Linked DNA regions of Tribolium castaneum. Each later gene encodes a partner of the first gene's protein in a complex. Links are inferred from orthologs where the notes say so. Each region holds a gene or a part of one and is shown on either strand. Other genes may lie near its edges.

Evidence for each region.
Region 2: Mks1 (region 1) and transmembrane protein 231 share a complex: the UniProt entries of both Homo sapiens proteins name them as parts of the tectonic-like complex. The link is inferred for Tribolium castaneum from reciprocal best matches to the Homo sapiens genes MKS1 and TMEM231.

The regions. Positions count from the first base shown.
Region 1 is NC_087401.1:10,812,923-10,817,345, reverse strand, and holds Mks1 (tectonic-like complex member MKS1), read right to left. Parts: upstream 2,888-4,423; 5' UTR 2,825-2,887; coding exon 2,748-2,824; intron 2,704-2,747; coding exon 2,326-2,703; intron 2,278-2,325; coding exon 2,052-2,277; intron 2,004-2,051; coding exon 1,470-2,003; intron 875-1,469; coding exon 638-874; 3' UTR 595-637; downstream 1-594. Other genes in the region: rhomboid-related protein 2, read left to right, coding at 3,055-3,123, 3,169-3,641, 3,689-4,217. UniProt on the Homo sapiens protein: Component of the tectonic-like complex, a complex localized at the transition zone of primary cilia and acting as a barrier that prevents diffusion of transmembrane proteins between the cilia and plasma membranes.
Region 2 is NC_087398.1:6,906,644-6,910,134, reverse strand, and holds transmembrane protein 231, read left to right. Parts: upstream 1-1,586; 5' UTR 1,587-1,669; coding exon 1,670-1,817; intron 1,818-1,867; coding exon 1,868-2,037; intron 2,038-2,087; coding exon 2,088-2,216; intron 2,217-2,268; coding exon 2,269-2,494; intron 2,495-2,541; coding exon 2,542-2,801; 3' UTR 2,802-2,833; downstream 2,834-3,491. Other genes in the region: mitochondrial import inner membrane translocase subunit Tim21, read right to left, coding at 2,834-2,938. UniProt on the Homo sapiens protein: Transmembrane component of the tectonic-like complex, a complex localized at the transition zone of primary cilia and acting as a barrier that prevents diffusion of transmembrane proteins between the cilia and plasma membranes.

The DNA of each region.
Region 1 (4,423 bases):
GTTATATTAAAGGGGATATGCCAACACGACGACGAAAAAATTACGGCTTAAATTGACTCGTTTTTCGCCCAAAATAACAACAATGTACACGTTGGTACGCCTGGCCCCAATCCCGACTTGGGGAAGTACCAACACAATTGCAAAAACTACCAAAAAGAAAAAAGAGTTGCCATGGCCGCCTTATCGATCCGGTCACAAATAGACGAATTGTTTAAAAATTGAAATTATTAGTCACGTGACGAGAGAAATTACAGGAATGGATTTTATCGATGGCACCCCCGAAGGAGCGACGTGTCAATGACTTGCAAAATAGGCGACTGTGTTACAATTTGAGACAGGTTCATGAACGGGGGACGCGTGGCAACAGGGCGGCCGTGCCACGGGGACCTCGCTAAGACTCGAGCGGCACTTGAGCCCCCCAGAGCATCCCAAAAGACAGAGGGGTGAACTGGAAGCCAGTTCCAGGCACACCATGGGGCCAAAGCCCAAACTTGGGGCTAAAACATGGATAAAGACAGCCCGAAGTCGCCCGATGTGACCCGAACCGGTCCGATCGTCCCTCGCCCAGATATATCGATTTTGGTTTATACCTAGTGCGGCGTTGCCACGTTTATTGATTCTCAAAATAAAACAACAATTATAAAAATTTCCGGGCCGCAATCATGTTTTTTCGGGCCCTTTTGAACGCTTGGAGCACTTGCTCCACGCTTTTGACCAAACTTGACGAGTTCAATTTTTCGAAAATTTCCAAATTTTCCTCGGAATTTTCTCTGTATTTGTCCAGAAACGCCTGGCTTTGATGGACGACGTGAACGGTCACGCTGATCAGACCGGTACCAACCGTGTTAGTCCCATATTTATTTAAAACAGACCCCTGGAAAAAAAATTTCCTTAGATAAGCTCGCCATTTTAAGCTGAGCTTAAACTGCAGTGTTGCTCAGCTAAGCCGCGCTGAACTTAACTTTGCGGTTGGTAGTACTGCACGCTTGCGCACTTATGACAGTTCTGATTTTAAAAAGTTAGGTTAAGATTCATTAATGTCACCATTTATCAATATTTCGGTACATTGTAGCAATAATATCGTTATAATAAAAATCTTATGTTTAAAAATGTATCAATAAAATGCGGCATTTATTTATTTCATGTTTAAAAATTTGTCCTACAATAAAAAAAATACTGATAAAATATATTGATGGAATAAGAATAAGTGAATTATTATCATTATACTTTTTTTGCTGTTTTTTTTTTCATCCAATGCAAGCAAGTAACTTTTTGCTTTCTAGTGTTAGTTTATACTATTGAACAAAATTGACCAATTTCAACAAAATTATAATGTTATCTACAATAATAATTTATTAAAAATATTAGCAATAAGCCGAGGTTTAGTTAAACCTAACCTAAATGAGCAACACTCGGTGTCGGCTTAAGCCCGCTTTAAGCCTTAGTAACCTTTCATTTAGTCAACTCACATCGTAATGTTTCGGTAATCCCACCCAAGTCAAGTCACCATAGCTTGAACAATCGCCAATAAAAAACCGGCGTAACTGACCGGAAATCCGGTCGGGGATTAACCGGAAACATTGTAGGTTAAACCGGTAATTCCCCGGCTTGGCAACGGGCAAGGCCTTATAAGTCAGCCCTTCAGTCCTATACCGACTCCAAGTGTCCTTCGAAATAACCTCAAAGTAGATATAAGGGCACTTGGGGATTCCCCTTTTGCCCAAATCCTCGATATTGTACTCTAACGTAACGTCGAAAACGTGCCCGAAATGGGCCAAACCCTCATCGCCAGTCACGTGACACGTTTGCGTCACGCCCTGCAGTTGCGATTGGTCAGTCGGGGACCAATCCGACGGCAAGTCGATGAAATACTGGACGTAGATTGGTCCATACTCGAAATATTGCGCCCACGCGAGTTCCATGAACAAATGAACGGCCAGTTTGTTTTTGGCGGGAAGTTTGAAACTCAAACATTTCAAAAGCTCGGTTTTGTGGCCATTTATCTGCAAATTCTTTAAATAAGATAAATTCGGGGATAATACAACACACACTTTTCGGATTAATTCTTTTTCGCGACGGTGGGCTTCCTCAGGCATTTGGGCCGAAACGTTCTCAAGGAAATAGTGATATTTGCGAATTGTGGCGCCTTCAAGTCGGATTAAATACGGCTGGGATTTGGTAAAGTCGGGGTTAATTGATAATATTTTGTACTTCCGGTCGTATTTAACGACACACAGGACTTGTTCCTGCTTGAGCCAAGTCGAATCGATGTATTCGCTACGAACAAATCGCTTTATAGTCACTCGGACGTTTCGGGGGAATTACCCGAGGTCCGCCATGATGTACATGACCTCAAACTCGTAATTATGACCAATGGGATTTCGCACTGCTGCCACAAGTGACTGGCCGTAGTCGTACCCCTGGCCATTTTCGTCGCAATTTTCGCGGAAATTGTCATTAACTTCCTGTTTGAGGGCAAAATCGTCGTCATTGGTGTACGAAAACAGGTCAAAATGCGCCTCAGTGTGTGATTCCCCGACGTCCGAATGGTACTTTTTCTCCAGATCTGTGATACAGTTTTTTTCGTCCTTGTAGTACTCCCTTTCTGACTTGCTGAAGCATTTCTGTTGCCAGGCGAAGTCTTTCTGCTCCCAACCGTCCGAATCCTCGCCAGTTAAATCCCCCACTTGGCGCAACTTCACTCTTGAACCTTGAACTTTAATTGTGTACGTAGTGTCTTTACTTACCTTATTTTCAAGTTGGTGATGTCATCCGAGCACCTGTAAATTGCCGTGTATTTGACCAAAGTCTCCTCCTGACTCATTTTAAGTGTTTTACACGTGAATCACAACAATGACGTTAGCCGCGCGCCATTTTTCAAACCTGCCAGGCGCGGAATTCCCCCAGTTGGGCCCAAAGTTACCAAAACATAACCGTGTAATGATAATTAACAAAACAAAAGTGATAATAATAATAAGTGATAACATGTAGTAACACGAGTGTTAGTAACGTAAACAGTGATTGTGTGTGTGCGCCAATTGAGGTTATGTGGCCATGGCCAACTCGGAGACGCCGCTCCAAGCCAGCCGCAAAAACGCCTACTACCGCAGCATTTTCGACAAAGTGAGCCCCCCAGTTTAGTAGCAATCACCCAAACTGCGCTTTCAGTACGACCGGGACCATGACGGTTTTATCAACATCGGGGAGCTGAATGACCTGATCGAGAGCCGGGAATATGACCACGACATCCCCGAGCACGTCGTGCGGAAAATCCACCAAATGGCCGATCAGAACCACGACGACCGAATCGATTTCACCGAATTCGTGGACATGATAAACCACCCGGACCTCCAGTACGTTTTCGGGCACTATGTCAACAGGTACATCCAGATGGTGGTGCCCCGCCGACGGGGCGCCAGCGAGGTGGACGGGGCCTACGACGACCAGTACTCCTGCTACCCCCCGGCCGTGGGCATGATCATTATTTCGCTAATCGAGGTCATTTTTTTCTGTGTGGATGAGGCAATCGAGGCGGATTCGACCAAATCGGCCTCGGGCCCCATCAGTTCCGTCTTCATCTACGACCCCTACAAGAGACAGGAGGCTTGGCGGTTCATCACTTACATGTTTGTGCACGTTGGGTAATTAATCAACAATTGACCGACGTTAGCCACCCAATTAATTGCAGAGCCTTCCATTTGTTTGTCAATCTTTTGGTGCAAATTCTACTGGGGACTCCGCTAGAAATGGTGCACCGGTGGTGGCGAGTGCTCCTCATTTATTTCGCGGGGGTCCTCGCCGGGTCGCTTGCTACCTCAATCGCCGACCCCACCGTGAGACTTGCGGGGGCCAGCGGTGGGGTCTACTCCCTCATCACGGCACATATAGCCACCATTATAATGAATTGGAGGGAAATGTCGTTCCCCATCGTCCAGTTATTTATTTTTTTGATCATTATGGCCTCCGACATTGGGACCGCCATTTACAATCGGTATTTCCTCGAAATGGACGAACATATCGGGTACATGGCCCACTTTGCGGGGGCTATTGCCGGGCTCTTGGTGGGGCTCAACGTCCTAAGAAACCTAGAAGTGACAACGGTCGAACGGGTCATTTGGTGGCTCTCTATCGTCACGTATTGTCTCCTGATGGCAATCGCAATCATTTGGAATTTTGCCTGGCCTGAGTATTTTTTGAAAAGTCGGGAACGGATTTGAGGTTAGGAAATGACACAAAAGTGTAACAATTATTATTTTTAAGCACAGATTAGGTACAAAGTGACCAGTTTTTGCAGTATTGTATGACTAGAGGTTGATTTTAGTATTATTTTTGATTTTGTAAAAGTGGGGTTATGTCGGCGCATAATCAGAAAGTGTTTTATTTGAGCATTGCGCGAGCCCCCAACTCATCTGGACGGACTCGC
Region 2 (3,491 bases), on another chromosome or scaffold:
ATTACCTGTCAGGTATTCAACTGTTAAAAGCCTGTGAATATCCAGTTAGTTGCACTTTACACCAATGAAATACGAATAATACTGATGTTTCTTAAGACGGGAGATTCTATTTATGCGTGACTGCATTAGCAAAACCCTCCCGGCAGAATATGTCAGATGAAAAGCAATAAACAATTATTTTGAAGAAAAAAAAACATTTTAAATTCAAATTTGTATGATTTAATTATTTTTTGGACGCTTTTAGAATAAGAAAAACGTTGTAATCTATACTCGAAAAGCTTAAAATAACTGTTTTGTAATAAATAATAATTATTAAAATTGACCTTTTCAATTGCTTTACTATACTCGTAGTTCAAATTTCATTTATTTTGTTATGGTTTCTTAGACAGATTTGAATCAATTTAACCATTATTAAGTATATAAAGGTTATCTTAATTTTTTTTAACGATAAAAATATGTTTTAAGTCACATCAGAGCAACTGTTGTATTCAACTAATTAGAAGTTCTAAGAATTATAAAAATTTTGATAAATTGTATTAGTCTGCGCTAATTAAATGTCGTAACTAATTCCACTATAATTTTAATAAATTAAACTAGATATAGTATTTATTAATCATGTAGTATTAAATTATTGCCATCTTTTTTTATTTAAATACATTTCCAAATAAAGAATATAAATTGTTAAAGTATTTTATAAATGGTGAAAAATTGTGACCTAGTTTTACGATTAATATCTACCGAATAATTAATTTTCTTGGAAAACCAAGTATTACACATTTTTTCTTCTTCAAGTGTATTTAACTGGAAAAACCAAATAACGCAAGAATTAAGTATGTCATTGCCAATATATAGATATCGTTACTCATCAAGTCATCATTCATCAACCACCAATTTGCCCGGTATCTTTTGATGAAATCTGAAGAATTAAATTAAAAAATAGTAGAAGAAAATGTTTTCTCGAGCAAATTTGCGGATTTTTGAACTAAAAATATTTGCGTTTTACGTGAATTATTGCAATTATATAGTTTGTAATGTTGGTTTAGTTAAAAAATTTGTGTTAAAATATCTGCAAAACACGGTCAGTACCTGGGGCCTCGTGGCCCAGTGGTATAAGCACCACTTACAACGGGGGAGGTCGGGGGTTCGAACCCGGATCAGGTGTAACAATTTTTCTATGAAAAAAAGTGTAGAAAAGGTAAGGAAACAACACGTAAACAAAAATAAGAGATTGAGAGAACACATAGGCGTATAAAAGTAAAGCGGAGCTTAAAACTGAGAGAAATAAAAAAATAATGCGGCAAAAATGTAAAAGAACGTAAAGGCGCCAAATTGTAAACGTACTTTTTGTTTTGAGAGAAAAAGAAATGAACGTAAAGGTTACTTTTATTTGTTTATAACATAAACTGCAGAGGAAATCGATGTACAAAATTAAGGAAATTACACGTTTTAAAGAAAACAGAGAAAATTAAACAAAATCAGGATTTTTTTAATATTCTCATAATGGCCGTTTTTTTTGTTTCCGTTACCTTTTTTGGCAGTTCGGTCATTGCCCTAGCATTTTCAAATTACCCACACAGTCGTCGTCATGACAACCTAATTGTTTGTATTCAAAGTTGACAGGTAAACAAATAAAAAATTCGACCAAAAACCACAAGACGTAATTTTTGTGATGTTAATGATGGTAGTTTTAGAAGTTTTTACAAAGAATATAAAAATTTCTTATAAAAGTACTCTTCTATCAAAAGCATCGGTGCTAGCCCTAATTTTTGGGGTCTTATCGCTTGTGTTACCATTTATTTTTGCATACAAAAGCAAGGGTAAGAAATTAATTTTAATAAATTAGATAGTTCTGATAGCAAATTTTCAGGCTTGTGGTTAAAAAGAGACACTTTTTATGAACAACCGGATGTAAAATTTCGAGGAGAATACATTTTTGTTGCTACTACGAATAATTACAATAAGTCTGTTATAACGTGTAGTAATTTACCCCACTTTGATAATGTATTGCGGCCTTTAGATACTTGTTCAGTCATCAAGGTTTTTTTTTTCAGTTTTGTAACTATTAATTTACATATTGTGCCTTTTAGGTTCGTGAAACTGACAGAAATTTTGATGGTAAAACAGAAGAATTAGATTTGTCTCTCCAAGTTAATCTTCCAGTTAATACTCACCTCACGTCTTTTTGCATAATCATTCCATTTAATTATAAATTACAAGTAAGAAATTCGAATGTGTTCTTTTTTCTATATTTCTGTTTTTTTCCAATAGGTTTGTCCTCTTGAAATGCAGACTGCCATTATTTTTCAAGAATTGTTACCATTTTATATATCGAAGTATTCATTGGTGGCTAATGTGGTTGTGACCCAAACTAGCCCCTTAATTTGCCACAGAAAAAACACCAATACGTTATTTAATTATCCTGTGATTGTGGATAATGGGGATTTAAATAACTATGACATAAATACCATTATCACAAACTTTTCAAAGAGAAACAGTATAAGTTAAAGAATCTACAAAGCAATAACTAACATATTTTTTCAGTATCCACATCATTGAGAGACGTCTATAAAAGTTTTTCTCCTGGAAAAACTCAAAATTTCGTATTAAACTTAAATATAGAATTTCCAGAAGACAGGATATACTACAAGCCGGGCTTTTGGCAAGTACTGAAGTGGGCCTGGATCCAGTACCTCTCACTTTACATAATAATCTCATGGATAATTGCAAAAATAAAGCACTATATTTTTAGCAGGAGATTAATACTGTTTTTTGAAGAAAATCCGGTGAAGAAAAAACAATAAAAATTTAACAAACTTTATTATCATCGTTTTATTTACAACGTCAAGTCTAGTGGCTCTGAAGACGAACTAGAAGACGAAACTGCGTTCCTGTTGTCTTCCAGAACAATTGCTGTTTGTAGGAGATCGTCCACTTGAACCAGGGTGGTGAAACCTAAATGCACCAAGCCAAGTATAGGCGCCAAATTCAAAATCGACTGTAGTTCGGCTTGCTATCGCAGATGTCGCACACACGTATAGTCAATTTTAGCGAAGCTACCTATAATATCGGCAGAAATTAACAGTGGACCTGTGACAGTTGCCATTGTGTAAATCGCCATTTTGTGCTTGGTTTGTTTGGTGTTCGCCCTCGGCTTTGTTTTATGTGAAATTAGTACTGTTTTGTGGTTTTTTTCGTGTGTGTGCTTTTTTGAACTTTTTTATTGTGGGAATATAAATAATTTGATGGATCAATCATTAGTTTATAGTTATCGTATCGTGTATATTGACTAGTGATAATAAATTTTTATTACAAGTTTATTGTCTTTATTTATTCTCATATTTTATTTTTCGTATTCTTTGTAAATATTCAGCAACAATAGTTGTCTAACATCAGAAAGTGTTATTAGCAACTATTGTTGTGAATATTTACAAACAATACGAAAAATGCAATCAAACTTTAAAAGAAAAGTAACTACGGGCAATTCAAATCGC